2 linked regions of the Arabidopsis thaliana genome follow. The protein of the gene in region 1 interacts with the protein of each later gene in a biochemical or structural test. Each region holds a gene or a part of one and is shown on either strand. Other genes may lie near its edges. The genes, in order: SNL1 and TBP1.

Evidence for each region.
Region 2: the proteins of SNL1 (region 1) and TBP1 form a complex in vitro, tested with the Arabidopsis thaliana proteins (one study listed by BioGRID).

What each region holds. Positions count from the first base shown.
Region 1 is NC_003074.8:99,818-117,175, reverse strand, and holds SNL1 (SIN3-like 1), read right to left. Parts: upstream 10,883-17,358; 5' UTR 10,881-10,882; coding exon of another isoform or gene 10,740-10,880; 5' UTR 10,447-10,739; coding exon 10,370-10,446; intron 10,217-10,369; coding exon 10,025-10,216; intron 9,938-10,024; coding exon 9,754-9,937; intron 9,664-9,753; coding exon 9,565-9,663; intron 9,496-9,564; coding exon 9,328-9,495; intron 9,239-9,327; coding exon 8,962-9,238; intron 8,773-8,961; coding exon 8,636-8,772; intron 8,557-8,635; coding exon 8,478-8,556; intron 8,396-8,477; coding exon 8,360-8,395; intron 8,263-8,359; coding exon 8,069-8,262; intron 7,995-8,068; coding exon 7,840-7,994; intron 7,767-7,839; coding exon 7,639-7,766; intron 7,518-7,638; coding exon 7,263-7,517; intron 7,118-7,262; coding exon 6,425-7,117; intron 6,345-6,424; coding exon 6,256-6,344; intron 6,027-6,255; coding exon 5,448-6,026; intron 5,383-5,447; coding exon 5,282-5,382; intron 5,191-5,281; coding exon 5,052-5,190; intron 4,959-5,051; and 9 more. Other genes in the region: AT3G01327 (ECA1-like gametogenesis related family protein), read left to right, coding at 628-945; AT3G01326 (ECA1 gametogenesis related family protein), read right to left, coding at 1,512-1,817; AT3G01322 (ECA1-like gametogenesis related family protein), read right to left, coding at 2,572-2,886; AT3G01319 (uncharacterized protein), read left to right, coding at 10,740-10,880; AT3G01311 (actin cross-linking protein, putative (DUF569)), read left to right, coding at 12,889-13,122, 13,403-13,675, 13,762-14,133; AT3G01310 (Phosphoglycerate mutase-like family protein), read left to right, coding at 15,573-15,662, 15,820-15,879, 16,160-16,206, 16,358-16,441, 16,566-16,629, 16,760-16,913, 17,022-17,092, 17,214-17,318. UniProt on the Arabidopsis thaliana protein: Acts as a transcriptional repressor. A histone deacetylase (HDAC) activity is required for transcription repression. May play a role in telomere stability.
Region 2 is NC_003076.8:4,451,887-4,467,377, reverse strand, and holds TBP1 (telomeric DNA binding protein 1), read right to left. Parts: upstream 6,539-15,491; 5' UTR 6,200-6,538; intron 5,825-6,199; exon of another isoform or gene 5,714-5,824; 5' UTR 5,685-5,713; coding exon 5,601-5,684; intron 5,513-5,600; coding exon 4,798-5,512; intron 4,711-4,797; coding exon 4,537-4,710; intron 4,449-4,536; coding exon 4,395-4,448; intron 4,320-4,394; coding exon 4,240-4,319; intron 4,140-4,239; coding exon 3,898-4,139; intron 3,776-3,897; coding exon 3,455-3,775; intron 3,367-3,454; coding exon 3,303-3,366; intron 3,212-3,302; coding exon 3,023-3,211; 3' UTR 2,641-3,022; downstream 1-2,640. Other genes in the region: AT5G13830 (FtsJ-like methyltransferase family protein), read right to left, coding at 1-15; AT5G13825 (uncharacterized protein), read left to right, coding at 1,409-1,678, 2,175-2,279; AT5G13810 (Glutaredoxin family protein), read right to left, coding at 10,785-11,609; PPH (pheophytinase), read left to right, coding at 13,071-13,130, 13,228-13,863, 14,207-14,433, 14,534-14,725, 14,825-14,981, 15,064-15,315. UniProt on the Arabidopsis thaliana protein: Binds specifically to the plant telomeric double-stranded DNA sequences 5'-TTTAGGG-3'. At least 2 repeats of telomeric sequences are required for binding. Induces DNA bending.

The sequences.
Region 1 (17,358 bases):
TAAAACATTTCACAAATCGCAAACAATCATATGTGTCTCGTTGAATGTTTCATTGTCTTCCGTCGGTTTGAAGTCTTATCTTAAAGACACATTTCGACGGCCTCACTAACAAGTGTTTCAATGCGTTGAAAACAACCAAGTCTTTTGACCTTCCATTGATTAATGTGTAACCTTACGATCGATTATGATCTCGCTGTCTCTAATTATTTTCTTGTTCTTATATCACAAAAAAGATGTTGTTACTGCTTCCTCACTATCTCGACCTCAATATATATTGAACATATTACATATATGACCCCTCAAAGATATCTTTTTTTTTTAAACAAAAACAACAAATAGTGAGAACTTCTTTTTTTTTTTTTTGTAAAAACTAAGAATCACCAATAAAAAATTTGAGTCCAACAAAACTAAAAACTCTATTGGTCAACTAATTATATTTAAAGCAGAAATATATATTTAATTTTATTACATGGTCTTTCTTTAATTAGTCAATCTTCTTATAGAAGGAAATCCTTAGAATAAATTCCACACATAAAAAATCTTCACGTCGTTTCTCTATAACTACACAAACTCTATATTATAAGCCATAAATTTTCCGTCTTCTATTGTCAAACAAAAACAGAGAAAATGAAAACAAAGCAACTGAAAATGATGTTCTTCTTATTAATTCTAGTTTCGGCTTTGATTAACCGACCATCCGAAGCTCAGCTAAAACTGAGCGTATGTTCAAGTACACAGACAAGGCCGATAGAGAACGTGGCTGGATGTTTAGATTCGTTGAGATTAGCGGTGCATCAAGATTTCAGATTGCTATCAAGAGACTGTTGCAAAGCAGTGAAAACACTTCCTGATTGCCTTTTCGTTCTTTATCCCAACATAGTTTACAATACTTATATCTTCAAAAACTTTTGTTTCCTAAAGTTCAACGAAACAAAAATCATGTAACCAAGGGGATTTTTATTTGTACATTTTTTATGATGAAATAAAAATGAATCTGATTCACTTTTTGTTTCTGGTACGAAAATCTTAATATTTCACAAATCGGAAACAGTCATATATGTGGAGTAAGAAAAAAATATGTATATTATTTCTTTGATAGCATCGCATAATCTATATCCAAATTGATTGTGGCATCCGAATATGCATTAAAAAAAACCCACGAATCAAAATCATTCATGTGCATGTCAGTTCTGTTGACTTGGTATTTGTACCATGTTAAAGTTGTAAACTATGAAGAAAATGAATCAAGGAAAAAAGGATCTTCTTCATCGTTAGATAAAAAGGATCTTGATCGTTAGATAATTTTTAATTCTCGGAAAATGTTTCAGTTATAATATAAAAAAAATCAAAATGATTTTGAATACAAATGAGAAGAAAGTTTGATATACGAAGCGTCTAAAATTAAAAATACATTTCGTTGATTCCAATTGTTTATATTAAATAATTAAAACTTAAAAAAAAATTCAAAATATTTGTATTTTTTCATTACATGATATTTGTTTCATTGAAAACTACTGAGAACATAAGTCTCTCAATACAATAGTATTGTACTCTACGCCGGGAGATACAATCAAAAGGCAGTGAGGAAGTATATTCACTGCATTGCAACAGTCTTTTGATAGCAATCTGACAAATTTCTCCGACCCTAACGCTAATTTCAACGCATCGAAACATCCACTCACGTTTACTATCGGTGCTATCTGTTCACTTGAACATATCCACGATTGGATCTTCATCTGAGCTTCGGATGGTCGGAAAATCAAAGCTGAAACTACTATTAGTACGAAGAACATCATTTTGATTTGCTTTGTTTTCATTTTATCTGTTTTTGTTTTACAATAGAAGACGAAAAATGTATAGATGGTTTATAGAGTTTGTGTAGTTGTAGAGAAATGACGTGATGCCTTTTTTTTTTGTGGGTTTTTTTCTCAGGATATCCTTCTATAAGAAGATGGAGTAAAGAAAGAAAGACGTAATTAATTAAATATACAAGTTTTGACCCAAGCAAATACTTATTTATGGAAAAGTAATTTTATATGCTTGAATTAGTTTGACCAATGGACTTTTTTATTTATTTTTGTTAAAAAGAGATAATCTTTGAGGGGTCATATATGTTCAATATTAAGGTCGAGATAAGCAGTAACAACATTTTTGGTGACTTAAGACCAACAAAATAATTAGAGACAGCGAGATCATATTTCGGATTAGTTAAGTTGGAAATAACAACTGAAAGAAAATCACTACTAAACCTTACCCTAATTAGGTTTCACTTTGACCAAAGAATAATGTTGATTACCCGTGCATCCGATATGGATGTTCATACATTCAACAATATGGATTATTTGTTATCTCATAATCGATGGAATCTCTAAATACTAGGTTGTTTACAAAGCATTGAAGCATTCTTTAGTGATAAGACTTCAAACAAACGGAGGAGCATGAAACAAAGAACGAGACATGTATAGATATATAATAGGATTGTTTGCGATTTGTGAAATGTTAATATTTTCGTATCAGAATTAAAAAAATAAATTTGATTCGTTGATTATATCATTATAAAATACAGAGAAATCATAAAATTAAGTTATTGAAAATTTCGAAACAAATTTCTTTGAAGAGATTAGTATTGTAAGCTCTGTTGGGAAATACAAGCAAAAGGCAATCATCAAGTGTTTTCACTGCTTTGCAACAGTCTCTTGATAGCCATTTGATATCTACATCCGCAGCTAATCTCACCGCATCGAAACATCCATCCACGTTATCTATCGGCCTTGTCTGTGTTCTTGAACATATGCTCGTTTTTATCTGAGCTTTGGACGGTCGCAAAATCAAAGCTGAAACTACAATTAATAAAAAGAACATCATTTTGATTTGCTTTGATTTCATTTTCTGCTTTTTTTTTACAACAGAAGACGGAAGATGTATGGTTTATAGAGTTTGTGTAGTTGTACAGAATTGACGTGAGATTGCTTCTGCGTGGAATGTATTCTAAGGATTTCCTTCTATAAGAAGAGAGTGAGTAAAGAAAGGCCACGTATACAAGATTTGGAAGTTACATATACTCATTTATGGAAAACTGGTAAATTTTAAATACGTTGAAAACTAACCGCGCCTAAGCATCCACTGGTTAGTTAGTCCGTAAGCAAAAATGAATCTTAACATTTCACAAATCGCAAACAATCATTTATGTCTCGTTGAATGTTTCATAGGCATCCCGTTTGTTTGAAGTCTTGTCTTAAAGACAAATCACGACGGCCTCACTAAGGAGTGTTTCAATGCGTTGAAAACAACTAAGTAGTATTATTCCATCGATTATGAGATGATAAAAAAATCATCATTGTTGAACGTATGAAACATCCATATACTGGATGCAGGGGTTTTCAACACATATTCTTTGGTCTTTTACTCTTTAGGAAAGATGAAACCTAATTAGGGTTAGGTTTAGTCATTTTCGTAAACTTAATTAACACGAAATATGATTTCTCTGTCTCTGTATGTCTCATTGTTTTCTTGTTCTTAATTCACCAAAACAAAAATGTTGTTGTTACCGCTTAGTCACCAATAAAAAATTTAGTTGATTTCATAATCTTGAAATTTGAAGCATATAATAATAATTTTTCTTTTGGGCCTATCTATCTATTAACCAAGGCATCTTCAAGTGCTTTCCCATATTTACAACAACATTCTCCTAAAGAGCACAGACACACACTACATGTAACACTAACAGACTTGGCACTTGAAACCTAAAGATACACACAGTAACTCTAAACCACCATTGTTCTTCTTATGGTTTTGTTCCTTTGTGCATCTCTCTATATCTCATCTTATAATCAGCATAGTAAGAAACTTGAAGACCAAAGTTGGGAATTGTTGCAGAGAACTTTACTTGTGCGACTTTGTCAGTTTTACCTTTTTCTTGTGTGTTGTTGGTTTGAAGGAAAGAAGAAAACCCAAGAGGAAACTTTGTTGTGGTCATCTTTAAGCTGAGAGAAACCTATGGAACCTTTCTACTCTCACCTTGTTACGTTGCCATAACTGTTCAGTCTTCTTTTTCTTCTTCTTCCTGTGGAAGTAATCCTCTGTGTCCAATACGTACGCGATCTACAAGAGATGAGTATATATGTTGACTGATTCATGAACAAGAAATTGAGTACAGAGAAGCTTTTGCATAAAGAAAGATGAACAGGTTGAAATGGGTATAATTGAGTTGCTTGGTTCAAGATCTTTGGGACGGAAGATCGGTTTACCTTGTAAGAAGAGCAAGACATCTTGCATTCCAAGCCATTTACTACTTCGACACCTTCCATAGCTTTACAGAGATCATACAACCCGGTGAGGTTCCTGCCAAAAGGGAATTTATTTAATTATGCAATATCGTTGCAGTATCCTGGACCAGTTCCAGTAGAAGAGAAAAAGAAATAATAAACCTATATATAACCTGCAAGCGTTTCAAAAGAGATAGAATCTACCATTTCCATGAACCTAGAGGTTTATGCGAAAACCTTAAAGAGACAGATGATTATATAAGATATATACCTTTGTAATACAATGTCATGTCCCTCCTCTTTCTTTCCTGATGAGACGGAAAGCAACTCAGTTTGCATATAACTTGCAAATGTGGGATCCATAGAAACTGCATATGCTTCTGGCTTCTCGATTATGTTATCCATAAGCTGGATAGATAAACGTGAAGGCAAGGATGACTGCATATCAATTAAAAAGGGCAATTAAGTTCAAATTGATCATGAGTCACCACATTGATGTATGAAGACCGCGGGAGATAAGAGAGTCACAAGGGTTCATACACATTCCAACCGGTAAATATTTTCCTCGTGAACGAGGACCCTAACATTTTCATAATACACTGAGTCGATAACCCTTCCTGGTTTCCGGGATTTCTCATACTCATACAACTGAAGCAGCTTGTTGTCCATTTCATCGGCTACAATAGCTTGAAGCTGCAGATGGATAATATTAGAACATCACAAGGAAGGTAACATAATGTCGATAACATAAAAAAAATTGTCCTAAACCACTAGTGTGAGTAACACCTGCTTAACCAATCTGTAAATCAGTTTGTCCAACGTGAATAACACATATGATTGGTTTCCAATTATAGCTCTGCACTCATCCTCAAACTTGGTATTTTCAGCTGATCCATCTAGCAAACCATACAAAACCCTCATAAACCTGTACAACACACAGATCAGATTTTGATGGGAACAACATGTATATGATTATCTACATAGGCTAGTATAAAAAGTTGTACAAAGGAAGGTACCTCGCATAAGGATCTCCGGCATTGGTATCCTTTAAGTTTTTCGATTTCAGTTCACCGCCTGAGCAATTCCTTTTTGCATACAAAATTCTCTCGTACAGGATCTGAAAATGCACCACGTTATCTTTGCTAGAGAGAATCAATTTCAATAAATAATTAGGTAACTCACTTGGTGAAGCCTAAAAAGAACATAAAAGTCGTCATTCCCATAGAAAACTTGGAGATCTTTTGTTCTCTCATCGCATAAAACTGCTGCGACATGCTTTGAAAGGGGTCTGACGGATAAGAGAACACGTTCTGACTGTGGAAGCAGCTCACTTTCTCCTTCTAAGAGATGTGGATCCATTCCCTCCGCTTCTCCTTCACTCTCAGCTTTACCATCGATCTCATCATGCTCACCATTCTCCTCCTCTCTATCTTCGTCCTGAGAACATACGTCGCCACCAGATTCAGTTCCAGATGCCTCGGAAGCATTTTCACTATCAACATCGTCAGCATCGTCCTCATTCTCTACTTCAGCATCTGCCTCTACTTCAGCCTCTGCTGAATTCTCTGGTTTGGATGTGGACTTCACCCCATGATCTTTGTAAACACCAAAGTTGTCTTCAAAATCACCATTAGGTGACAGTTCACCTTCCTCTTTCTCATTTCTGGAGGGACCTTCGGGATCATCAGAATTCCTAGTACCTTTAGAAGAATCTGACCTTAATCCATTTGCCAAAACTATCGAATTGCCAACATCACCTCCCTAGTAATATGACAGAGTCAGAAGGGTCCGGAAAGCATAATTATAATATAAGACACATTTTAAATTTTTACACCCCTGGGTCCCATAGGTAGTACTGTAAATTTTTACATCCCTAAGCTATGGAAACCTCCAGGTAATAGTGGGTTTAGGCGAATATATAAATATGGTACAACGAGCAACTGAATGGTGTAAATATGGTACAACGAGCAATTGATTGTAGTACTAGTACCTGAGTCGAATGAACAGTTTCAATGCTATCTACATCATGATGAATATCAGTGAGGGTGTCGCTTGGTTTGGCTTGAATCTCATGTGCACCTTAATTGTAAAGTAACAAATATCAACACAAATAATCAAGCAGCACAAATAAAATTAAATAGCTTAAATCTGGAAGGCACCTGGCAAAACTTCCTTGCCTACTACACAATGATTGTTTTCTGCCCCACTTGGGATTGATATACTCGAGATGGCTGCTCTTTCGCTAATATCCATTGGGATAGGTTTTCCAAACCTTTTCTCGGCTTCATTTCCAGTTTCTTGTTCTTTCTGAGGTTTCACAGCAGAGCAGGCAACACCATCTCTGTTAGCTATTTCAACATCTTCAAGATTTTCTTTCCCTGTCGAATCTTTATTTAACAAACCTATCCCATGTTTGAATGTCCCAGATGAAGAATTCTCATCTCCATTGGCAGCAGATTTAAGTTTCCTAGAAGCCAACCTTGCTGTGTCTCCTCCAGAACTCACAGCAGCCTCCCCGTTAGGAGATGTGCTGTGATTCACATCGAGAGTCTTGGGGTTTATTACAACATCTTCAACAAGATCTGTGCCCTTGGCCCTGGGAGGAACACCCAGCACTGCCTCCAGGAAATTTTCCCAAAGCCTCAGAACTTTACTGAGCTGTTCTTTTGTAGAACATAACTCCTCACATGAAAACTGGACTACTTTGAACATGTCTTCATGAATAGCTCTGTTCAAATACTCATATTCAAGATTAGGATTTATAGGTTGTCTGTAACCAGCAGAAATAGACAACAGAACATCATCATCATTCTGAGACTTCTCTTTCAGCTCCTTAATTTCAGCCAACAATGCTGGTTCACGAAGCAATAAAAAAACAGAATGAGAAAGGAATAAGTGAAAGGAAAAATAGCACTGCCGGATGTATGTGAGCGATAAAACAGGATAAAGGAACTACTTGAATATAAATCTTCTTACGACTTCTATAAGTCTACTTACATTTTGCACTCAAGTTCTTTGAATCTTGTTGCTTGAAGTAGAAGCTGCGGTGATCAAGTGACTTGTAATGGTTTTTTGCATATACGTTCGCCCAGACCTTATCAAAATCGTCACGGCATTTCTTCCATTCACCTTGTTTCTGCTTTAAACGAGTTAGGATTACAGGAAGTGCAGTGGCTGGATTCTTATTTAATATGTCTATCACGTCAAGACCATGGTCGCCATAAAGTCGCTCAATACACCTTAAATTTAGGGCTGTAAATATGTCAATAAGAAAATGGTAAAGTTAATAACCAAACATATGAGGACACCTAAATAGGGGAAGAGAGAAGATATAACTACGAACTGTAAAATGGTCCCAAAAAAGCATACAGACCCGTAAAATGGTCTTCGATCCTGAAGGAGCCAGAAAAACTTATTTTCTTCTCTGTGATGATGTTCAACAAACTTTCTGCACTTCTGGCCGCAGAGCTCACAGATTCCAGCAACATGTCCAACTCAAATCTGTTATAAGCAGTAATTAACATAAATGACCAATTACTTCAAACTATAATATGTATGTTGTCAATATAAATACCTATCATCTTCGCATCTGAACAAGCTCTCTTCATATTGGTTTCTGCGCATGTGCTTAAAAGAATAATCTTCACTTCCGGAAGTGACAGATACCCAATGATCATTTAAAACCTCAGCTCCTAGCTCCGATCTCTGACTCGCAATTGGTATCGGATACTGCAAATATAATATTACAGTAAGTAAAAATCCAATGAACATGCTCAAAATGCAACTTGGAAATAGAAGCTTACATCCGCAGGCAGAAGCCGGTAGCTAGGAGTGCAACACTCGCAATCAGAGAGATCGAGCTCTTGAATAGATTTTCCCATGTACTCCTTCTTGCATTGCTCAGTTTCCTTCACAGCCTCGAGTTCAGGCTTGTGTTCACTTTCTTTCTCTTCCACCTTCATTGGCCTGGATAACTGTTCTTCGCTGCTAAATAATTCTGCCAAGTGTACCAGCAATGTCAGTAAAGATTTTACAAAGTAGGAGGGAAAGAGACAATATTATTCACAGCTGGGAAGTTTAAAATAGCAGCATACTTTTGCTCATAACACCAGCAAGACGCTGAAATCCATCTACAAAAAGAGGATGACCGTCAGAAAGAAGAAGATTGCTGATATGTAATAACTATTAAAATAACAATACGTATTTCAGTACCAGTAATACTCTCACACCGCTCGAAGAACTGGTTGAACTCATCCATCAGATCAGGAAATTTCCCAAGAAGATCAGAAACCTGAAAGAAAATGAATGGGATTTAATACAACTTCCTGAACGTTACCACAAGATCAACCCCTGATCACAAATTGCAATACCAAGTTTTGCAGATCCTTCCTTTGGATTATTCCATTGCTAAAAATATTGAGGCACTTCAAGAATGTCTGATAATCATCTTGGCTGCATAGTCTATCCTTGACTTTCTCACAGAAAACGAATGCTTGTTTGTACATACCTAACACAAAGTAAACATCTTAGAAAACAGAAGCAGATCTTCGCACCTTAAAGATCACCATGCAACCAAAATTGGAAAATAAATTCTCTCTCAAAGAGAAAGAATTAAGGTGTCCAATGTTTGGGACTCTTAAAAAATAGAAAAGGTACCAAGCAAATAAAAAAATGTTTGACACAGGAGTTAGCTTACTTTTCAAATTGTCTTTCTCAGAATGTGAAGCAGAACCAGAATATGCTTCAAGAGCTTCAGCTCTTCTGGACGACTTTCTTTTCTCTGGAAAATGGTGTAGGTTATCTTGACCTGCTTCTCTATCGTCCAAATCACGGCCTCTCCTTGCCCTGTTCTCCTTATCAAGGCGCTTCCGCTGCTCTCTTTGAATCTTCACCATCGTTTTATCATCATTAAGGTCATAACGTTCAACACTATAATCACCGCGGAGAGCAACAGCCCTTTCTCGTCGGCGTTCCTGGTGATAAAAAGTTGTAGCGGGAACAAAATTGAGATACGTGGCAAAAAATAGAACAAGGAAAAATATGAAACAAAGATCAAACGAACCTTTTCCACTTGCATTTGATGAAGTAGAGGAGGGTCTGATCCTCGGTCGCTGTACTGTTGAGCCTGACTCCGGCTATGCTGCGCTGCTGAATGAGATGGCAAAGACGCTGGCAAAAACCTAGTAAACTGTTCAAGCAAATCCAAGTGGCCTTGAAAAAGAATAGATACCTGGAGCATAGATATTCGAAGGTTAGAAAAAGTTTGGAGTGGCATTACAGGTGAGATGAAGTATATTACCTCGTTGTACACCTCTTTAATTTCCTTGTTCTCCTTTCGGTACATATTCAAGATTTCCAAGAAAGATTTATAGACATGTTCATCGTGCTTGAATCGCATCTGCAGTGAGAAAAAAGAAACTTGTACATTGAGACACAAGATGTAAGCGCACTTCAAAAGAGAAATATAAGACCAAGATTTCGACAGCACCTTAATTTTATTCACAAAATTGATGGCTTGTTCGAATTCAACAGTCTTCTTTGGCAGAGCGTCGTCTTCCTCAATAAGCGTAATTTCATATCCCTTAGGCAAAAAGGTGTTGAATCCATAAATCAAATTATTATGTCCCTTAAACAATTCCTTAACTCTTGCGATCACACCGCCTGTGTCGGTTCTGAAAATGCAAGACGAAGAATTAATACAATGCCGCCTACTAAAACTTACTTGAACTTTGAAGTCGATAGAGAGTGAAAGAGCTAACCTTTGAGCCTTAAAATCTTTCATAACCTCGAGGAACCTGTCATATTTCTCGCGTTGATCTTGAAACATCTCTTTTACTTCCCTCAGGTACGACAACGCATCATTGGTTGTCAATTTCTGAGAGACTCTCCGGCTCCCTCCTTCTTCTTCTTCTTCGGTGTCACCACTGCCGTGGACCGGAGATTGTCCACATCTGCACCAAATCATCTCTAATCGATTACTTAAAACTACTCAATTCATAACAAATATTTGTCACTCTCCATGCAGAATTATAGAAAACCTAATCGCCACAAAACAGAACCAAGATCAAAACCGAAATTTGAAGGGTGAATTTAGAGAAACTCACAATTGGCCTCGAGAAGAACCAAGAGGACGTCTAAATTGAGACCCAGAGGCATATACATCATCTCTTATCCGCTTCATCACAAGTTAATTAACGAAGCAGAGGATCAAAATTCCCTCCAGAGGAAAAATATGTATGAGACCTACTTTCTATCACTCTCGAGAAAACATATGTAGTAGATGAAATCAGATACTCAGATCTCTCAAAGGAGAACAGAATCGTTAAGAAGCGCTTTGATCACCGGCAATCATACATAGACAGAGGAAAATTCCGGCGAGACTCCAAATTCTCCGGTTTAACACACTAGACTGAATATGAATTGCGATGATACTGATAGGAGACGAGAAGTAGTAGAACGCAGAGTCGAAAACGAATGAAGAAGACGGAGAATTTCAGAGGAGTTTGCAACAAAGACGCTGAGAATTTTCGAATAAGGAAGGAGAAAAAGGCGGAGAGAGATTTTGCATTCTGGGGTCTCTTCGATGTTTCACTTTCTCTGTGTGTTTGCTGCTAACTACTGGTAAATTGGTAACTTATCTTTTATTCTACTTCAATTTGGGCCGGACACTCAAATATCTATTGGGCTTTTTAAAATAATAGGCCCATTTATCAAGAACTCTGTTTGGTCGGAAAAAATTGTGATGAATTTTTCATATAACAAGAAAATATATGTACAGATTTGCGTCAAGCATTGAACAAAATTAAGCACGAGCCGAAGAACCGATACATTGTCGGAAAAGTGATGATAAACCACAAGCGAGTTTGTTTCGTGTAGAAGATGAGATGTCTGGTCCTCTACGTATTTCAGAAAAGTATGGAGGTGGTGATGAAGAAGATGACGAAGAACTTGATTTCTGTGATGGATTTTTATCTTCAAGATCATTACTATTTCTTCCGGTTTGTTCTAGATGATTTTGAAGAATTGCTCCATTTTTTTGATCTAAGATGAATTGATCACTCCAAATACGACCCGAAGAACCTTGACGTCGGAACGAAACAGCTGATCTTTGTAGCGATGTCATTACTTAAGTTTTGAATCTTGTTACGATTATATCTTCTTTAATACCAAACTTATTTTATTCTATCAATTTTGTTGTGTGTTTGTTTCTTTTGCGTATGTATGAAGCTATTGTTTCAAGTGTTTGAACTTGTTTAAAGATAAAATGAACAGAATTAGTTGAGTTTGAAATTAGATTTTATCCAGTTTTGGATTTACTACAAAACATGCTAAATTAAGCTTAAAAGTTTATATCTACTCCCCAAAAAAAGGATATAAATTTTGATCTTGTCTTCCATTAAAATAGGATCCAATGACTTCAAGCCTTAAATAGATGTAGATTTTCTTACAAATTATTTTGTTCCAAGTACATATTTTTTTTTAAAATTAATATTTTGTTTTTTCTTGAATCAAACCAAAAATGAGAAGTTGTAAATTTTCAGTCAAGCCCATCCATATAAGCTAATTGAGTATTGGTTTGGGGTTTTTATGGGTCAAAAGAGGTTTATTATAATGGGCCTTATGAAGCTCATATACGACCCATAAGCGTTAGGGTTTTCCTCGAGAAACCTAAGAATCGCCGCCATTGGGGACCTTTATATACAAACCACACATGACTTTGACAGACATCAAGCTCTTATCAAGTCAGTTTAGGGTTCTCTGTTCAAGTTCGTATTTTATCTTCAGTTTAGTTTTCTTTAGATCTTTGGTTTTCGAGTTATGATGTATTGGTCCGTATAGATAATGCAAAATTGAGATCAGGTGATGAGGTAATACTGCAACAATATGATGGAGTAATCTTTGTGATTATTAGTATTTAAGTCTCTGATGATCTTAATCGTTTTCAACTAGATCTTTTTCGATTTGATTTTCTTCTGTTTTGATTGTTTTGTTTGAAACGAGAGATATGATGATCAACAAATTGGTCCGTGTTTCAGATTAACCGTGACCGAAAAAATTCTTAACCAAACTCTGATCTCTCTTCTTTTCTTTCGATTTTTTAGTATTTTCCTTCAAATTTCGTTTTGGATAATTTCTTCTTCTGCGGTGATGATTTTATGAGAAATTCACATGTCAGACTTCAGAGATTCTTGTAATCTATGAGAATAAATTCATATATCTGAGCAGAAGATTCGAATTATAAAAGACTCACACATATACATTGACCGTTTACAGAGATGGAATCATAGAAACAAATAGAACAGTTTGATTTATTTAACCAAATAGTTCAATTAATGGAAGAGGTTCAGAATCTGGTCTTCGGAGTTGTCATACTATTTAGAAATCTGGTCTTATAATCTGAACAATCCTAATCCCACGGTTCAACAAACTTTTGACATGGATCAAACATATAACAAACCATTAACGATAAAAGACTCAAATCAAGCGAATTAAAAAACAAGACTCAGGTCAACAAACCATATTAGCCTACGTTGCATCACGATAATGAAGAATAACTTATAGATCCATCCCCTTTTGTCTCCTAATTCTTAATTTTTTAGAAAGAGATCATTATTGTTCTCGGATGGAGATATTTAGAAAGGCAACGATTGTACGTCTCCGTAGCCACAACGACAAATACCTAAGTGCCGATGAAGATCAAGAATCCGTTCATCAAGATCGTCGCGGCACAACAAAAAACACTAGATGGACGGTTGAGATCGTACCTGGATCCAATGTGATCCGTCTTCAAAGCTGTTACGGCAAATACCTTACCGCCACTAATATTCATTTCCTCCTTGGAGCCACCGGCGAAAAGGTAGGTTTATCTAGGGGAGATTGGGTTACAAGAAACCATCTCAAATCAAAATTAGGATTCTTTTTCAATAAATTTCTTGAAAAACAAGGCATCCAAATCCATTGATAACATTTATAAACACTTTGACAAAGTAAATCTTGCCCAAGAGATATTTCAAATGTTTAACAACGAGAAAACCCATTCTTATGACTATAGCGCAAACAAAAACGCATAAACAGAATTTTTTTAAACGTGGAAATGTTTCTTGCTAAACAAGCCGTGTGTGTTTCATATTCACAAGGTACTTCAAACTCTACCCGAAAAGTTGGATTCATCTGCGGAGTGGGAGCCGCTATCAGACGATGGTGTACACGTACGGTTCAAGAGTCGCTACGGACAATATCTGAGGGCAAACAAAGGTGTACCACCGTGGAGAAACTCTATCACACACGATATTCCTAGTCGTACGGTCACACAAGATTGGGTCATGTGGACTGTTGACGTTCTTCAGATTCGAGTTATCAAAGATGATGCAGAGTCTACCCACAGTTCTTCCACTTTTTCACGGATTGAGGTACTACTACTATATACACTACACATACGTGCCAATACCATTCTTCTGAAAATACTAGTACTAAACATTCATCGATACATGATCAGTCAGATGATTCGTTTATTGTGAGTTTACCACTCAAGTCCGAAGGAAGGCTAATATATTACGAGACCGGAGATGATAGTGGGAACATAAATAAGGAAATAGGAGAAAAATCATTGATATTCCATGGAAGCGAGTTGATAGAACTAAAGAAGAAGCTTGAGGAAGAAACAGAGATGGAAGATGTTATGATTTGGTGTAGAAATCCTTTGAACGAAAAGCTTTGTCCTCTTCAATTGCATCTTCCTCCTAACAACGCAACTATGCACATCATCGTCTTTCCTTCTTCTTGCGGTACTAAACTTACCTCCTTCTTCATTGTTACCATTATCTATAATCAAAATATTGTTTATGCATTCCTAATTTTTTTCAATTGAGGATTTCGATTTCCAATTAAAACTTTAGGTATATTCGAGACATTGGGAGTCCAGAGTTGTTGTTTTTCCGATTTCTTTTGGTCGGAACTCTAATGAAAAATCCGACACATAGTTTTCTTGAAAGTCTCATTATTCGTCACGTCAGCACAAACTTTTATTCATCCCAAGTTTAACTATTTTAATACAGCCTCTAATTGTGTTTTTGATTTTTTGATTTTTTTTTTTTCGCAGAGATTGACAAGTGATTGTCAATAATATATTATCAAATTATAACCAACTTGGGAAGAAGAAAAAAAAGATTATTTTGTTATTTGTGTACGAAGAAAGAAGTCATTGTGAAGCTAATTTATTCTTCATATTCCAATATATGATAGTTGATAAGTACATGTATAGTTGTATATACAACATAATGATCTATTCGTTTAACATTTTTCTTTTAAAAATCTTGGAATGAAAATACTGTATGTTACCTAGAATTCAAATAGAAATCACACCTAACGAACTAGTTGGTAGTAGAATCTTATAATTTTGTTTAATACACAAAATAAAGTCAGACAATCTGAAAATGACACATAATATGTTTTTGGGTGGAACCTTTTTAACTCTATTATGCAAAAACATAACTTTTTGGGAATAAGAAAAGTTGTAAAGCAACCAAAAAGCTAAATGACATATATTTTTTCTTTCTCTTAATTACTGCATATTCTAGAATCCTACTACTAGATCTTATCCTTCCACTTTTTTTTTTTGTTACATATTAATTTGTCTTAACCAAAATATACATAGGAAAACCTTATAGGGACATTATATCTATTTATGTAACATTGATGGACGACACACACAATGGACCATGTGATATTTTAGTTCATATATCAATAATAAAGTTTTGATCATTATTATTATAATTATATTTGCTCGACCATGATAGTGTATTTAACGTCAAGTGTGGGTCCAATTTCGGTCCAAGGATGCTGACTAGAAATTAGCATTTTTATAGTTTTCTCCTAATAATATACTATTTAATGCAAACGGCCTGTGACGACTGAATTGTCCTCTGTCTGGCCCCGTGAGCTTCACCGCAGCTTTTAGATATTTTCTTTCCCCGTTCTTTCGGATTTTTTTTTTCTCCCCCTCTCAAGCAAAGCATTATCGCTATTGCTCTGCCTTGTGAGCTGCGATCACCTGTTTACTGGTAAGTCTCTCCTCGTCTTCTCCTTCTTCTTCTCTGGGAGATCTTCTACTGTTCTCTCTGTGAGCTGATTTGTTTGGTTTCCTCCATAGAGCTGATCATATCATCATCGTTGGGAACTGACGAGATTTAGTCTATATTGGTGAATTATTTTTGTTTATCTGGTTTTGATTTTTTGAATCTGTGACTTTAGAGAGAAGAACACTGCGACGTCGTTAAAAGTAGGTTGAGAGCGAGAAAGGCCGAGAGAATGGAGATGGAAGAAGGAGCAAGTGGTGTTGGTGAGAAGATAAAGATTGGAGTCTGCGTCATGGAAAAGAAGGTGAAATGCGGCTCCGAGGTTCTGTTTTCCCTTTTTTTTGTTTGTTTGTTGCTCGTCTTTCGCGTTTTTCTACTGACCAACAGATTCCGATTACACGGCTCCATGATGACCGGTTTGTCTTTTTTTTACTACGTGTGTTCTCGCTCATACATTCCTTGTTGTTGTTGCTTTATAGGTTTTCTCAGCTCCCATGGGGGAAATTCTCGACAGACTCCAGTCTTTTGGTGAATTTGAGGTTCCTTTCTCACTTGATGATCAATTTGATACTCTCTGGTTTGTATTCTTATAGTTGTTTTTATTTTCATTGGAGAGAGATTGTTTTTTTTTGATGGAATAACCTGTATTTTTGTGATTCTTGGGCAAATGTTATTGGAAGATGCTTCTGAGTAACTTTTTGCATTAGTCTGCTAAAGAAGAGTTGTTGACACTTTTTGTCGTTGTAGATTCCCTGGTGTATTCCATTTCCTCTTTTATTTATGATCTCATTTACACTTTTGTTGCAACTTTATCCACAGATCTTACATTTTGGGGATAAAGTTATACTTGAAGATCCAATAGAAAGGTATTCTGTACCAAATAGAGCTCTCTTTTGGCTTTAACTCATGTTATGAAAGATTCGTTGTTAGTGTATTTAGACAAACTGTAGCTGAATATATATCAAGTACAAAGTATATACTGGAATCAAAACTTTACCAGACTGTTTACTCTTTCAGTTGGCCCATTTGTGATTGCTTGATTGCTTTTCATTCCTCTGGATATCCTCTTGAGAAGGCTCAGGCATATGCTGCTTTAAGAAAGTGAGTTTTACCTTTTATCTCTCACTGTTGGCTCAATAAACAGCCTATCTTACATTAGTCTTTTTGGTGAAAATTAAATGAGTTTGGCTATTGAGGTGTGATTTTTCAAACTTGTGTTATTCAGGCCATTTTTAGTGAATGAACTTGATCCGCAATATCTTCTTCATGATCGCCGGAAGGTGTATGAGGTAAGCATTTTAGACTGCAAGATAGCTGTTTCTGTGCAAATTCTTCAGAGTGATTCAGCGTTAACGAAAAATAAGAACTACCTAATTTTTCCTTTTACTAATCAAAATAACTACTTATGTGCATCTACAGCATCTTGAGATGTATGGCATCCCAGTTCCTAGGTATGCTTGTGTCAATAGAAAGGTACCAAATCAAGACCTTCATTATTTTGTCGAGGAAGAAGATTTTGTTGAGGTCCATGGTGAACGCTTCTGGAAGCCATTTGTGGAAAAGCCTGTCAATGGTGAGCTTGCCTCTGGCTATCCTCCTTGTTTTATTTATCTTCTGATTTGCAGTTTTTTTTTTTAAAATTATTATTGGCTAACTATTGACATTCTTTATACGTGTTTAGGAGATGACCATAGTATAATGATATACTACCCTAGCTCGGCAGGTGGAGGCATGAAAGAATTGTTTCGCAAGGTACTGCATCCTTCTGCAGAACTTCTCTGTTCTGGATCGAACTGGTTATTCTGATATTGTCATAATTCTGATTAGCTCCTTTTCTTCCTAATATATTTCGCTTGTCCCCATCTTACTACAGATTGGGAACCGATCAAGTGAATTTCATCCTGACGTCAGAAGGGTAAGGAGAGAAGGCTCTTATATATACGAGGAGTTTATGGCCACCGGAGGAACTGATGTCAAGGTTCTGATTGTTTCCCTTCTACACATTTTTCGATAAAACC
Region 2 (15,491 bases), on another chromosome or scaffold:
ACCTGCCCCACTCATTTCCTCCGGCGCCGACAACAACCGATGTCTTCTGCTTCCTTTTTTGTTGTTTTACCAAAACCTTATAAACCCTAAAATGTCCACATTTTTAAATATTGCAAACTAGTCAAAAAAAATATTAGCGAGGATAATTCTATTTTAAATCAAAAACTGCAAATTTTTTACTCATTCTTAACAGTGAACAAAATATAATAGTGAAAAGTATTATTAATTAGGAGGATAAAAATTTGAAAGTTGATCAAGTTTACTATTTACCTCTATGTGAAAAGTATTCAAAAGATGATATTAACAATGATATTTCAACCTTGACAAAAAAAAAACAATGATATTTCAATTTAAACACAAACAAAAAATAAACAAGTTTACATCTATGTCAACAGGGTATATTCAAGGATGCAAGACTAAGAAGGGGTTATTGGTTTATAGATTTATAAGGAATTGAAATTCCAAACAAAAATCATTTGTTATTCAATCATTGATTTTAAAATTTTAATTAAAATCATGTGTTATTGATTCGATGATTTATAAATACTAGTTAAAATCATTTGTTATTCGTTTAGTCATTTGTTTTTTGATTTGAAAATCCAAATTATGTTTTAAATGGAATTGAATGGATTTGAAAGAGAAAAATAAAAGGATTCAAATCCATGGGTAAACACATGTTATTTCAAAATTCATATATCTTGATTTCATAATTAATAGAGATTTTCAAACTCTATATAGATTTACAAATCAATAGACCAATAACCCCTCCTAAGATAAACCAATACAAATTATAATTAGAGAGGTTTTTACATATATGTGAGTACTCATCTAATAATATATGATAAATTAATGTTATATTGGTGAAATCCTTTGGAACTTAACTTGGACTATATACTTGATTTATCTTCTAATTAATTTTGTTTTACAGCAATGTAACCATTTTCTCAACTTGAAAATTTTATTAATTTAACGTTAAATAATATTAATTAAATTCAGAAAAAGAAAACTCAAACTTTCCAAAAACAAAACTTCAATAAAACAAATTAAAGAGAAATTCATTAAACCATTTTTTAAATTGATATTTATTTTATGTTTGGTATTAAGTGTAAAAATACATAATTTTATTTATGGAAATAAATACATTAATGTATTATGGACATTGTGTAAATTTCTTAAGATACTTTTCTATATATAGTGCAGAATAACGAAAATAAAAAAGAAATACATTAATGTATTTGGAGATTTTGTAATCTCCTTAAGATATATTTCTATACAATGTGCAAAACCAACGAAGATGAGAAAACACATGGCACAATTGTATCCTTAAGGTGATAAGTTTTGTGTAAATACAAAGACTTGAAATTCGTTAAGATAAAAGTGTAACAAGACGATAATACAAGGATAAGATATGGAGGCTGAATCTAGTAGTTCTGGACATCGACGACAGAAACGTCCACGACAAAAGAGATCATCGGATGTGATCAGTTATGAGAGCAGCGTTGCAAATCTGTCAAGAGAAGGGAAAGAGACGTTGATGATTGTGAGTCGCAGAAGACAATTGAATAAAATCCCCAATACGTCTTCTACTGTGTTTGATAATACATGTCCTCGTTACAACTGGCTTCGTTCTGGTTGGATCGCTGAGGAGCGTCTTAAGGTCTATGACCGACTCTACCGGGTAACTATTATTTTCTTTTGATGGAAAATTAACATGCTATCAACTAAGTGGTAGTAGTTTAGTTGTTCTTGTCATGTTGATTTAGATTTTTTTACTAGACTCACCTTCTATTGTCACCGCAAAAAATTCATTAGTTTTAAGAATTAGTAATCTATGTTTTGGGATAGAATCTCTCTTTCTATGAGAATTGTATTCATTTTTCAAGATAATATATGTTTGATTTGGCAAGTATGATTAAAGTATAGTTTCGAGACCCGAGTCAAGAAAAATGTATGCACATGCATATAGTTTCTTCTCTAAATCTCAAGCTCACTCAAATGTTAGTTTTTATCCTAGTTTTTACTTCTTCTTTTTTGTCAACTCTTAGCTTTTACTGCATATATGATTCTTCATTCTATATGTGTGTGTTTATATATATCACACATTTTTATCATTTAATTTCAATGTACATTATAATATAACAGATTTTAATATTTGTTTAGTTTTCAATGTGCAGTATTTTTATGATCCATTAGGGCAAATGTATCATACTCGTGGAGAAGTGGATCAAATCTATGCAGATATTGAAAAATCGCGCGCAATAGTCGTCTTCCGAAAGTAATCTATTTAGTAGACCTAATTTGTTGGGAATTGATGGTTCTATTATGTAAGTGGCTAAAAATTTCGAATCCAAATTATTTAGATAAAGAAACATTTTTTTTTTTTAATGTGACAATCAATCGAGGATTTTCTTGTTTTGGTGTTTAGTTGAATTGAATCTTCTTTGTTTATTTTGGTTAATATTATATTGTGTAACCAAGATTAAATTTGGTGTTTTACTGCTAAATAAATAATTTGAGAGGGATTGTGGCAAAAGTGCAGCAAGCCAACTTTAGTAGTTGGGCCCTGTTAATCCAAAACCCCATTCTCAATAGAATCCAAAATATTTAGAACCCAATGTGAACGAAGGAAAGACGATGGCCGACAAAGTATTGTCAAATGGTTTAGAGATTGATGAAAACCAGTCACTGCCATAGTCCATAGATATTAGATTGAATGGAATGATGAACAAAAAAATAAAAGAATTGTCTAAAATTACATTTCCCCTTTTTCCATGGTCCTACCACCAAATTACATAATCAAATCAATTAGAAATTTGGAATGAACAGACTTACCATAAAAGTAACCAAAAGTGTCAAGGAACGTCTTGTTTCTACCAGCTATGATTTAAAAAAAATAAAAATATAGACTCTTCTTTTCAGAAATTAAGTATGTTTCTGTATTTTGTTGTTTCCCTTTGTACAGTTGCCCACTTTGGTTCCTTAGTCGTCAAGTGAAAGTTATTGTTATTACCATTCTCCTTCTTTACATGGACGAACCTGCTTCAACCACCATTGTTGTAGCCACCTGATGTTTCCCGTTCTGTTTCATTTGGTGCTGTGTCCAGTACCTATGTGCTCCTAAGACTCTGTCTAGCAGTTCTTGAGGCACTGGTTCTCCTCTTCGTTGCTGTGGTGATATACTTGCTGTGTGAACCAACGTTTTCCATTTGTCCTGCAACAAATCACAAAGTTATTGGAACCATTTATGTAGTGGCTAAGACTCAAAAGTGTGTTTGACCAGTTTCTGATATGTGTTCTCATACCTTCAAGTCCACATAGGTTCGATGACTTGCATTCTCAAAAGAACGCAACTTCACATCACGCCATCTGTGAAATAAGAATATCTATCATTAGTTTGACCACATAACCAAATTATTGTATTAATAACCCTCATCAACCAAACCAGTCTTTTTACCTTCCAGTCCCAACTTCTTCAACTGCGCTTACTAGAGCTTCTACCTCTGTAACAGAGAATGGTCTCCTGGTTCTGCGTTGTGAAAGCTCTGTACGCTTAGGTTTCTCGTTAACTGGAACAAGTGCAAGAGCGTCGGATTCCAAGGCCAAAACTGGAACCAGCGCTCTTGAATCTGATGAAGGTTGTTCATCAGCTGGTATGTCACTCAGATGTGGGACTAATTCATCATTGTTCTCCACACTATTTCCCAAATTAATCAAGTAATCTTCATCTTGGGGAGGGAGAGGAATTCCAGTCTCTAACGCTGGAGAAGCTGCGGACCTAGCAAGATCGAATGATTGTCCTTAGGTATATCTCTAGAGCTTCAAATTTATCCATACACAAGCAAAACTTGCAGTAACAAATATATATATATATATATATAAGATCACGTTTGTTAGTACCTTTCTGACAACTTTGTAGAGTCAGTTGGCAGAGAAAGGACAGGAGTTTCAGAACAAAGAGGTACAGGCAGTGTTTCCAAACCAGGCTCTAAGGTGAAGCCAAGGTTGCCAAGATTTTCTCTACACGAAAGACCAGTCTGTGATAGAGTGTTGTTGTCATCTCTAACTTTTTTCCCTTGGACTAACACCCCAATACGTATTCCACCACCGAGTAAAGCAGTAACCGCCTCCTTCACCGTCCTCTGCAACCAAAAAGGTTTATGTAAATAACACTTCATCATTGTACACAGCAGAACCAAAACATCTACAGAGACCGGTAGGAAAAGACATTTAATCACGCACCTTCAGTAAGCCTACTGTTGCTGTTTCTGGAACTTCAATTACAAGCTCCGGAATCCTAAGGGACTTGATGCTGAACTTTACTGCAAACAATGAAATAACATGAGACCCACATATCATGTCTCCATAAGTCAGTAAATTATCAACTGATCATATACCACGGGAGTCTTTCGAAAGAAGACCTATTTTTGCAGCAGAGAAATCACCATTTTCTGCATTCAACAAAGAAGCAAAAAAATCATGAAATCAAAACCATATCAGCCAAGGTAATAAACCATCTAGATATAGACTAATATGTACCTGATTCTCCCTTTTCAGGTGAATTGGAAACACTTTCACTACTGAGCCCACCATCATAATTTACGACCAAACCTTTGTCAGACAATCTTCTCTTCCTATGAATGGTCTCACGCTTCCATGGGTTGTAACCATAACATAATTTTCTCTTGCGGTAGAGAGCCTTCAAACGACCATCTAGAAATATATCCGCAAGCAAAGTAAGGGCAGAGCGGCAGCTAAAAAGAAATGCACCAAGGAGAAACACAGTAATATGATACTAACCTGTTCTAGTGTCTTCAAAACACTTCAACTTGGAGATTGCTCTCACCGACTGCATTATTCTTCTATTGCCAACCCGGGAGAGAGGCCTATATGACTTACATTTGTCACTAAATTTATAATACTTACAATAGTTTTCGTCATCATCTCTGCAAACTAACTTAGAATGATTCCTATATCCTTTAAAAGAATCATTAGGGACTTGATCCGTGCATGGTGCTAATTTCACATCGCCATCCAGAAGGACCGATTCTGGAGACTGCGAATGTAATTGACTTGGATCCTTTAAGCTGAAAGTATTAGCACCTTGTTCAGATCCGGCATCCTCATTAACAACACATGTCTCCTCAGTGATGCTCCCTACCAGGGACTTCAAACCAGATGCCCTCTTACAATCAGAAACCGGTGTTTGCTCCAAAATGCAATCATTTTCGAAAGACGAAAATGGCAAACAAGTCACGCTAGTATTTTCACTAGTAGACTTTGAAGCAGGGTTTCCTGGATCGAAAAACTCGGATTTACAAGGCTTAGTAGTATAGCCATCTTCAAGTTCTTGCTTAATCAGTCCACCCAAATGATCAAGATTATCAGCTTCAGATGCATAGGTAGACGTTGAGGAACTTTCACTTTCTTCCAACAACTTTCCAGCAAGAGAAGCTAGCAAATCAATTGCACAGATCTCACTTTCATCATCAGATCTCTTACCTGAGACCTTCCTCTACAAAAGGGAAACAAAAGTCATCAGAGACGTATTACAAAAGCATACAAAAAAAAAAACAAAAAAAATGAAGACCATGATCTCTTACCCTGCTTGAACGAGGAGCCTTGGGAATATTGGGGAAATCAAAACCATTAGAGCCACCACAATTTAACTTCCTTTTGACCACCATCTCTCAATTATGCATAACAAAACAACAACCTGCAAAAAAATCAAAGACTTTTAATGTCATGATCATCTCCAACAAAATTAAGCTAATCAGTATAATTTGAACACATTCTTAAACTAATGATCAACAGATCCGAGGTCAAATGCAAAAAAAAAAAAAAAATCAGGAAGATAAAACTAAGCCCTATACAGATTCAGATCAACAATGAACACCAAACCCTTGATCACTTTGTTTGTTTTTTAAAAAACATGCAAAAATGCAGCGAAACAAGCAACGTATAGATGAAACGCAAAAACTTAGATCAATGAAACAAATGTAACTTAAATGCTCACAATTTACGTAGAAACAAACAATAAAACATAATCAGATCTCGATTGCCAACTTCTGACAAACCGCCAAATAATTTATTCGACTTCAGATTCAATACTTTTTTGTCACCAAAAACAGAACATGAATTGAGTTTGTGGATCAGAAAAACAGAATTGAGAACATGAATTGTGATGAACAAAAAAACTCACCTAACAAGCCAACGATTCCTGGATCACAATCTGGCGCCAGTTAAATTATAGATCACGCAAACTGAATAATTACGCTACCTTTACCTCTCACGAATCTCTGATTAAGAACAATTGTGCTATACAAATGAAAAGAGAAAAAAATTACAGAGACTTTGAAATTCTAAGATTTAAGAGAAAAAGATTTAACGATCGTCCTTGTCTTTCTCTCTCTCTCTCTTCTAGAATAGAAATAACGAAGAAGAAGAAGAAGAAGACATTAAACCCTTTGAAAAAGAAAAAACCAAACAACTGAAAAAAAGCTTAAACCCCCATTTGAAGAAAATAAATACACCATTTTTTTTTTGTAAGTAGAGGAAATAAAATAAATAATAACCACGCGACCGGATGTGGCAGTTCAAGGATAGTGGATTTACCGGGTAGAGCCAGTCACTCTTCGAACCATTTTTTTTGTTTTTAATGACACGTGGAGGATACTCTTACTACACGAAACCTATTTTGTTTGTCATTGTCAGAACCAAAAAAAAGAGAGTTAATTTCGGGATTGGATAATAATTATAATATTCCCATTTTGAAGGGAATATTATGAGGCTGTGATACCGCGTGGTATCCCTTCTTTTACTGTTCCGTGCACGTTTTTACATCATTGGTCCACGTGTTTTCTCTTGCTGACGTGCTTTTACACCTGGAATTTGTTTTTGCCTATTAGCAGAAGAGTGGGGTGGTTCGTTTAATTCGATTCTTTGCTTTTAAGTCTAGTTATTAGGTAGAGTAAGGTTTAAGATGTTTCGAAAACTATTGAATTCTTCCCCATTAATATTTTCAAAGCTTTATTTATGACTTTTTATTGGTCAAATATTAATGTTGGGTAAGTTTATTTACTGTTATTAAAAAGTTTGCGTTGAATTTGTTTAATATTGACTGGGGAAGCCAAAGACACTTTAGGATTATCATCCATGAAATAGTTTACAATGGAATCCTTCAATAGTATATTAACATGATAACATGAATGAAGATTAAGTAGTAAATTTATTGTACATTTAGGATAATCATCCATGATAGTGTTGTTAAGCATATTCCCAATTGGACGGAAAAGAGCATATTCTTAGTTGTAAAAAATGTTAAATTACTCGGTAAGACGGATATAGGAAAATTTAAATAAAACGAGATCCAACCACCTAACAAAACGAGAATATTCCATTTTAATTTGAAAGTCAGTTGGCATAAGCTTATCTTAAGATATAGTAAAATAACAAATAAATAAAATAAAACAAAAAGTTCTAAACTAGTATATTTATAGAAAGACAAGATTTCACATGGTTGATTGTCACACTCATACATTGTCTTATTTTTTTAATACGCCGATAACACTGGATTTATATCCATGTCGTTGTGTTTAGAAGAAATCCATGTGTTTGTGTTTGTGTTTCATGTAGATGTGATATAGTCTATGTGCACACATGATTTTCATACTTTTATAATATGAGATCTCTGTTATATATATAACATACCAAGTTGTTCTTCCTACCATTCAACGTTTAATAATGTTATGGGAATCATTTATACACTGTTGACGAAAACAGTTAATTAATATTGCGGTGACGATAACATATGTATTGTCATAGTATGTCAAAATAACATCAAATTATGTATAACAATTAACAAATATATTTTTATTCATATAAGATGTCTTTTGATCCCAATGTTTTTCAAATATCGACAACGAATGTGTAGCAGGCAGAAATATCCTAAATAATAGCACAAAAACCGAAGAGAGTTGGATTCTAGCATTTCATGCATTATGCTTCAGCGGATGAGGCATAGATCTGCTCTTTACTCGTTTGCAAGCTAATTCGGTTGGGTTGAACAGCTTTTGTTCTTTTATTTCTCCTTTAAACTTTTTTTTTTCTCTGTCACCAAGTTGAAGAAAAGCAATCACGTATATATCATCATCACATGGTTCTCATATCCTGGCAACATTTCGATATTGATATAATATTCCGTTAGCCAACAAGAATCTCAATATCTTACATTATACCCTAACATCTACGTTTGATTTGAAACTGCCTTTGAGATGGTTACGTATGCTTCAAGGCCGTATATATTCCTTGAGGTGGTTGAAATAAAACTTACTCAACTTGGACTTCATTTCCAATCAAATTTCCTGTAATATTTTATACGTTAATATATGTGTTTATATATATGTAAATGTATATATCATTCAAACCAAAAAAAAAAACACTATTGTATATATCTGGTATAACAATTGTTTTTCGTGTTCAGATCTTGTGTGTTATGGAAAATAGATCTATAGGTGTGTTTTGATTTCATCTTTCCTACACATTAAAAGAGAAGTCCTTATTAAAAAAATGTATAGCAAATTTGTATGAAAGATGATTACTTTTTAGCCAGTTAATCTCATCGTGATTCTATATACTTTCGTTTTGTTTTCATTACATAAGATTTCTAGAGTTAATTTCAAAGTTTGAAATATTCTTACAAGAAAAATCAATCATTTAAATTAGTGCACACTAACACTTGAAATACTATTACGAAATATACATATTTTAAAAAAAAAAAAAAAAAAAAAAAGAAAAAAAAAAAAAAAGAAATATACATATTTTAATTAATGTTTTTAGTCAAATCATAACTCTAAATATTTATATTAACGGTTGGAATAATATTTAGCATACCAATTAAGACAAGACATGAATGCCGCGTCAAACATATCCGTATTGGGCGAGGTCGTCGAATTAACGAGTTTCCAAAACACTAGAAAACGATGTTTTTTTGGGGCCAAAACCAGCATAAGTAGTTGTTGAGTACATTGTCACCATCCTAAATGTATGAAATCATGAAATCATAATGTTTTATGCAGAATTGACTAAGAATTGATAGCACCCACATAGTCGTTCGATCATGCTCATGCACGAGCACGAGCACGACATAGGCAAAATGTGTCACATTGCAAAAACAACATGGTTATCCAAAGCTATCAATAATTCAATACTATACCCTTTCGACTAAAAACACGGTAGAGTCGATCGAGCCGTCCCGTTCTCAGATTCACGATCATACAAAATAAACTTTGGTTTTTGCTTGAAGCACGGTCGATAGAAACATAAATTTTCCATATAGGACAAATTTTTTGATTATGAATTTATGATTGAAAATGGGTCGGAAACCGGAATAATAAAGTAAGGTATGTATTAAGTGGGTCCAAGTGGGGGGTGGATGCGTGAGTGAAGAAGATACCACTAGTAAGAAGTAGTTCAACTGTTCAAGTAACCTTTTAATTAAAGAAAAAACGTTGCGTGAAAAACAATCTATAACCGTCAATTCTGACTAAAACTATAAAAGAAGGAAAGTTGCAAACTCAAACGTAAAAAGGATTTCCTCGTGCCAAAAGATAAGAAAACAAGTAGCTAAAGAAACCATATACTTCTCTGTATAATGATGACAATAAGGCAAAAACAATATTGGGCTTTTTAAACGTTGAGTTTTCAGATAGGTTGCCTCATCGTTTTATACACTTGGGCTTTTCAAGATTGAAATTTGCTTCTGATTGCAAATATTTATTCTTGGACCTAATAACGTAGGTAGGATAGATGCATTTTCTTAAGAAAGCCTCAGAACTCTCTTTGACATTTTAGAAAGAGTTGGATAGTTTCCTTATAGGTCACACCTCTCTTCAAACAAATCAAGTAACTAGTGATGCAAGTGTTCACTTTTACCACGTCTGATTTTGTCATTTCTCCAAACTTATCGGATTGGCTCCAACCTAAGCCAAAAGGACTAGTTGGTCCGTTGGAATGAGTAATGAATTAGTTTCTTTTAAGGTAATGATTTTGCCGGAAATAGAGGTTAAATGTTGAGTTCACCTAATAAGTAATTTTGCCGGAAACAAAAGTTTATCAAATGCGAAAATGAAGTATGACCCTTTTCTTATGGACTTGTCACCGATATAATCATGAATGTTTGCGGAATCAAGATTAGAATATTGTCAATGATACATGATTGTCTTATATGTTATGTTTTAACCACCAACATTCAATTACGCTCAACCAATAAATTGGTTCTGAGAGCCCTTGATCATACTTGAGAGTTAGCGAACAAGAACGATGGAGGATTATGTCGGTAGAAAACTTCTAACCAAGTTGTCATAAAAAGACGATCAAGCGAGTAGAACCACCCAATTACTGTCGTAATCAACAAGATGCCCATAAACACACGAAATATTTACAATCAAATATATAGCATAAGAACACAGTTGTCTTTCACAACATTGACACACAAGAGTCAAAATGCTTACTACCCGTTTCAGACATTTTGATTACACAATTACATTTAGCCCTTAGTAGCAAACACATACATAAACTAAATCCACGATCACCGGCATTCCCATTACCGTTGATCGCAAACCTTAAAAAACCCAAAGTGAAATGCTGCTGATCCAAAAGAGATTTTCGGATACTTGTGGCAGCATCATTCACTGTTCTACACAACAATGGAAACATCAAAAGAGAAATAAATACCTCTTTTTTCTTCTTTTTTTTAATGGTTTTTTCAGGTTCATTGATGATATATCTCAAGAAGAGCAATCAGGACAACGTATCAATCCATTCTCATTGCATTCAGGACATCTCTTGACCCTATCTTCATCCTCATCAAACAGTTTCTTGCTGCCACTACAATTGGAACACGGAACAAATCGAATGTCCCCACAGCAATGGCAAACAAACCCTGGTTGTCTCATTGGAAACTCTTTAAGAATCTTAGCAAGCTCACCAATCTCAAACAAACTCTTGATCACATCAGCACCACCAACATACTTGCCCATAATGAAAACTTGAGGCAAAGACACAGACTTCTCTCCCATTGCAATCTGCAACTCTTTCCTATAAGCGATATCCATGGAGACGTCGCGCTCATCGATCCAAACCCGAAACCCTCTAAATATCATTCTGACAGCATAGCAATCCTCATACGTCCGTCTAATCCCTCTCAAGCTAGTAAAATACACCACAATCCTGTCCTCTGTCCCGGGAAGACGGATGACCGAGTTGTTTAAGCTCGAAAAAGGCGATATCCGCGATTCGGGTAAAAGGGATTTACCGGATTTCTGCTTCTGAGGAATCTCAGCTAAGGCAGGTTTAACGGGTTTGGAAGTCTCGAATAATCTACAAAGGTTTTTGACTTTGCCTTTAAGAGAAGTTCCCATCGATTCTACGGGGGTGTAGAATTTGGTAATGGAGGTGGTACGATTGAGAGAAGGATTGAGATTGTGGGATTTGGGGCCCGAATCCACCACTGTTCTTCCGTGAATTGTAAGCGACCTGTTGAAGAACGACGTCGTTGTAGCCGATTTCGTCGTCTTCCCTGAGAAATCAGCGTTTTTCTCTAATCCCGCCATCGAAATTAGATCAAAGAAGCACCCCTTTCGACGGCTAATTTGGTGTAAAACCTAAAATAGTCAACAAAATCAAAACCCTAGGATCAAATTCAAGCAAATTGACGAATACAGAAAGAGAAATTGAAAAACATAAATTGAATAATCGTCGATCACCTCCCAAGGAAGAAATGGAAATTGGAATGATTGGAAAAGAATCAGCTTCTCTGATTTGAGTCGTAAAACGATCGGGTGCTGCGTTTTTGAGCTGATGAATTCTCACCTAAGATTAAAGAAGACGAGATTGATGAAAGAATGATCTGATTTTTCTGGAAATTTGGGGGTTTGTTTGTGTTTTGGAAGAAGATGTGGAGGAGAGCTCCGAATTAGCCTTTTGTCTGTCTGCCTTTGTTGCAAAGCAAAGAATTTTTCTGTTTTTTTTTTAAAGATATAATTATTATGTCTAAGTTATTAAAGGCTCTTTAATGATATATTTACTCGATGCTCCTTCGAGGAAAAACGAATTTGAAAAAATAACAAAAGTGGGATTAAATTGCGAGGAAAAGTCGTTTACTGGTAAAACGCGGTTGTCTTATTAAGAAAGGTTATGGTTACAGCGAAACCAGTTTCTACGGTCGGTTTATTGCTATTGATTCTACGCTCGGTTTAGAGATAGTTGTCTGTATTCTAATTGAAGAGTAGTGTATTTCGCTTTCTAGTCTTCGACCATTAGGATTTTTAGTTCACACAAGATCAATTCTCTAACATTTAAAATCAACTAGAAAACTCAAATAACACCGTTAAAATAGTGATTAAACCATTCAAAAATTAAACGGGTTTTATATTGTTTGATATGAAAACTGCAGGTTTTTCGATTGTTTTTTTTGTTTTCCGATTGTTACACAATGGAAAAGAAGATCAAAAATCAATTGTTTTTAAAAAAAATATTATTCTGTCATATTTTTGCAACAAACATGTGTTTTTGCAATGTTACATCGGTGTCAAATTAGCAATGTCAGATCCAAAACAAAATGTCATATTGTGAAAAAAATAACCCTACACTTAATAATACAGTATGAATTTTGGATCCTTTAAGAAAAAATAAAAACTCGATAAAAACGTTGCTGTCGGTTTGCACCGAACGATTGAAGTTAACCAAGCCAGCAAGCAACCCAATTCTTCTATTTCTTCTTCACCTTTAGATTTTTCCTCGCTTAATTTCTCAATAACGCTCTCAGAGAGACCATTTGATGAAGCTTCTCGCTTCTGGAATTTGAAAAGGTACAAGTTGCAACTCTCTCTTTTCTTTCTTTTCTTCCTGGGTTTATTATATAGCTGGAGTTCTTTGTCGATGAATCGGGTGGTGTTGTTGTTGTTTGGTTTCAATTTGATAGAAGATTGGCTTGACCTTGATTTGCTTTGTTTTGATTAGGATTTGATAAGACGAGTTCATAGAAGATTACCGCAAGTTCATCAACTTTTTGTATGTGGTTTCAGCTTTTGAAGCAAAATTCTGATAACTATACAAAGATTCCAGCTTCATATGTGATTTTCCTTGTTATTCTTAGCTTTGCTATGAAGTTGAGATATATGAGTGGAAAATTCGTATTAAAGGATATGCCTTTTGGTTGTTCATTTGCAGGAACTTGTTATGGAGATAATCTCACTGAACGTTGTGCCCCAGTGCTCTGTGGTTACTTGGAGTAGTAAATTAGCAACGAAAAGATTGGTCCCAAATCGGTCAAGTTTGTTATTCTCAGGGGTCAAAAAATCCAGACTTGTGATTCGAAGTGGAAATTCCGATGGTTATGTTGTTGGTGAGAATGATGACTTGGGTCGTATAGCCAGAAGAGGAGAATCAACGTCAAAGGTTTTGATTCCTGGTTTGCCTGATGAATCAAATGGTGAAATTGCTGCTCGAATCAGTCATTCTCACTGCGAGTGGAAGCCCAAGCTTAGAGTACATTATGAGAAAGCCGGTTGTGACAATCTCGATGCTCCTGCGGTGTTGTTTCTTCCTGGCTTTGGCGTTGGTTCATTTCACTATGAGAAGCAGCTTACCGATTTGGGAAGGGATTATCGAGTATGGGCTATTGATTTTCTTGGACAGGGTTTATCTCTCCCTACTGAAGATCCTACTACCATGACTGAAGAAACCAGTTCCTCGGAAGATAAGGAACCATTTTGGGGATTTGGTGACAAAACTGAACCGTGGGCTGATCAACTTGTATTCTCTCTGGATCTCTGGAGGGATCAAGTTCAGTATTTTGTAGAAGAGGTTAGCAATATCTGAGTTCAGTTGTTCTATTACTCTTTAAGCTGTTGATTTTGTTCTTTTAGTCGTAATTTCAAAAGCAGTGTGTTAGCTTTTTTTTTTTAGTGTAGATTGTTGCTATGTGTCGTATACTCATGGATTTCAATAGTTTTCAGCTCAGAACCTGAAAGTGTGGGTATGGAGTCTTCTGGTGTTGCTTTGGGAATGGGAAAGTTTAGGATGCACTAGATATTAGAATTCATCTCTGTTCTTTGATTCCGTTTGTGTTCTAGTTTGAGATCACGATCTTTTTCATCTGAAATAAGCTGCTGAGTCGGTAAGAGTATGTGGTATTTGTGTTGTACAGGTTATCGGTGAGCCTGTGTACATTGCAGGGAACTCACTTGGAGGGTATGTAGCTCTCTACTTTGCAGCAACCCATCCTCACCTGGTTAAGGGTGTTACCTTGCTTAATGCAACACCTTTCTGGGGTTTCTTCCCTAATCCAGTAAGATCCCCAAAGCTAGCACGTCTCTTTCCATGGCCCGGAGCATTCCCTCTGCCGGAAAGAGTGAAAAAAATCACAGAATTGGTGTAAGGGAGACTTTATTAACACATCTCCTCACCTGAAAAGTATCATTTTCTATTTCTATCTCTATCAGTCTAATATCTTTACTTCCCAATGAAACTGCAGGTGGCAAAAGATAAGTGATCCTGAAAGCATAGCTGAGATACTTAAACAGGTCTACACAGACCATTCTATCAATGTGGATAAAGTATTCTCACGTATTGTGGAGGTCACACAGCATCCGGCTGCTGCAGCATCGTTTGCTTCAATCATGCTTGCTCCTGGTGGAGAGCTATCTTTCTCCGAAGCTTTATCTAGGTATAAGACAGTGTGGTTTCTTGTTTTTATATGTTTTTTACTCTGCGTGATTGGTGTTATTGCTTATGAGGAATGCTGCTATTTGATGGTTTATGCTAGGTGTAAGGAAAACAATGTTCAGATATGTCTCATGTATGGAAGAGAAGATCCATGGGTGAGACCGTTATGGGGAAAGAAGATAAAGAAGGAAATCCCCAACGCTCCATACTACGAGATCAGCCCAGCGGGTCACTGCCCACACGATGAAGTCCCTGAGGTATAATGAACTAGTCAATAAATTCTTCAAACTCTGCAATTAGGTATAATGAACCCACCATTTGGGATATGAAAACGAGCAGGTGGTGAACTATCTGATGCGCGGGTGGATCAAGCACCTGGAGTCTGGTGGTTTTGAAGCGCTCCCGCTTTTGGAGGACACTGAAGAAGATTGGGAGGAGTCCAGGATTGGTAGAGAAATTGAGTTCCCGAGAGATGGTTGGAAAAAAGCAGTGAATCTGTGGTTATATGGGTCAAACTATACGTACTGGAGAGGAGTTAGAGAATCTTTCAGATCCAGTTTTATAAGGGTGTTTGGAGGGAAGTCTGCATAGAAGAAGCATGGAACAGTCGTCTAGTGTAAATTAATTGTAATCTATGTTGCATCCGATGCTAGCTATATAATGTTGTCTGTAGAATCAAGTTTCTAAAATGTTCAAAAGGAAAAGTTAGAAAAATATCTACTTGATAGTTAGTCACCTAAATCGAAGGAACTCCTTTCTTGCATTGT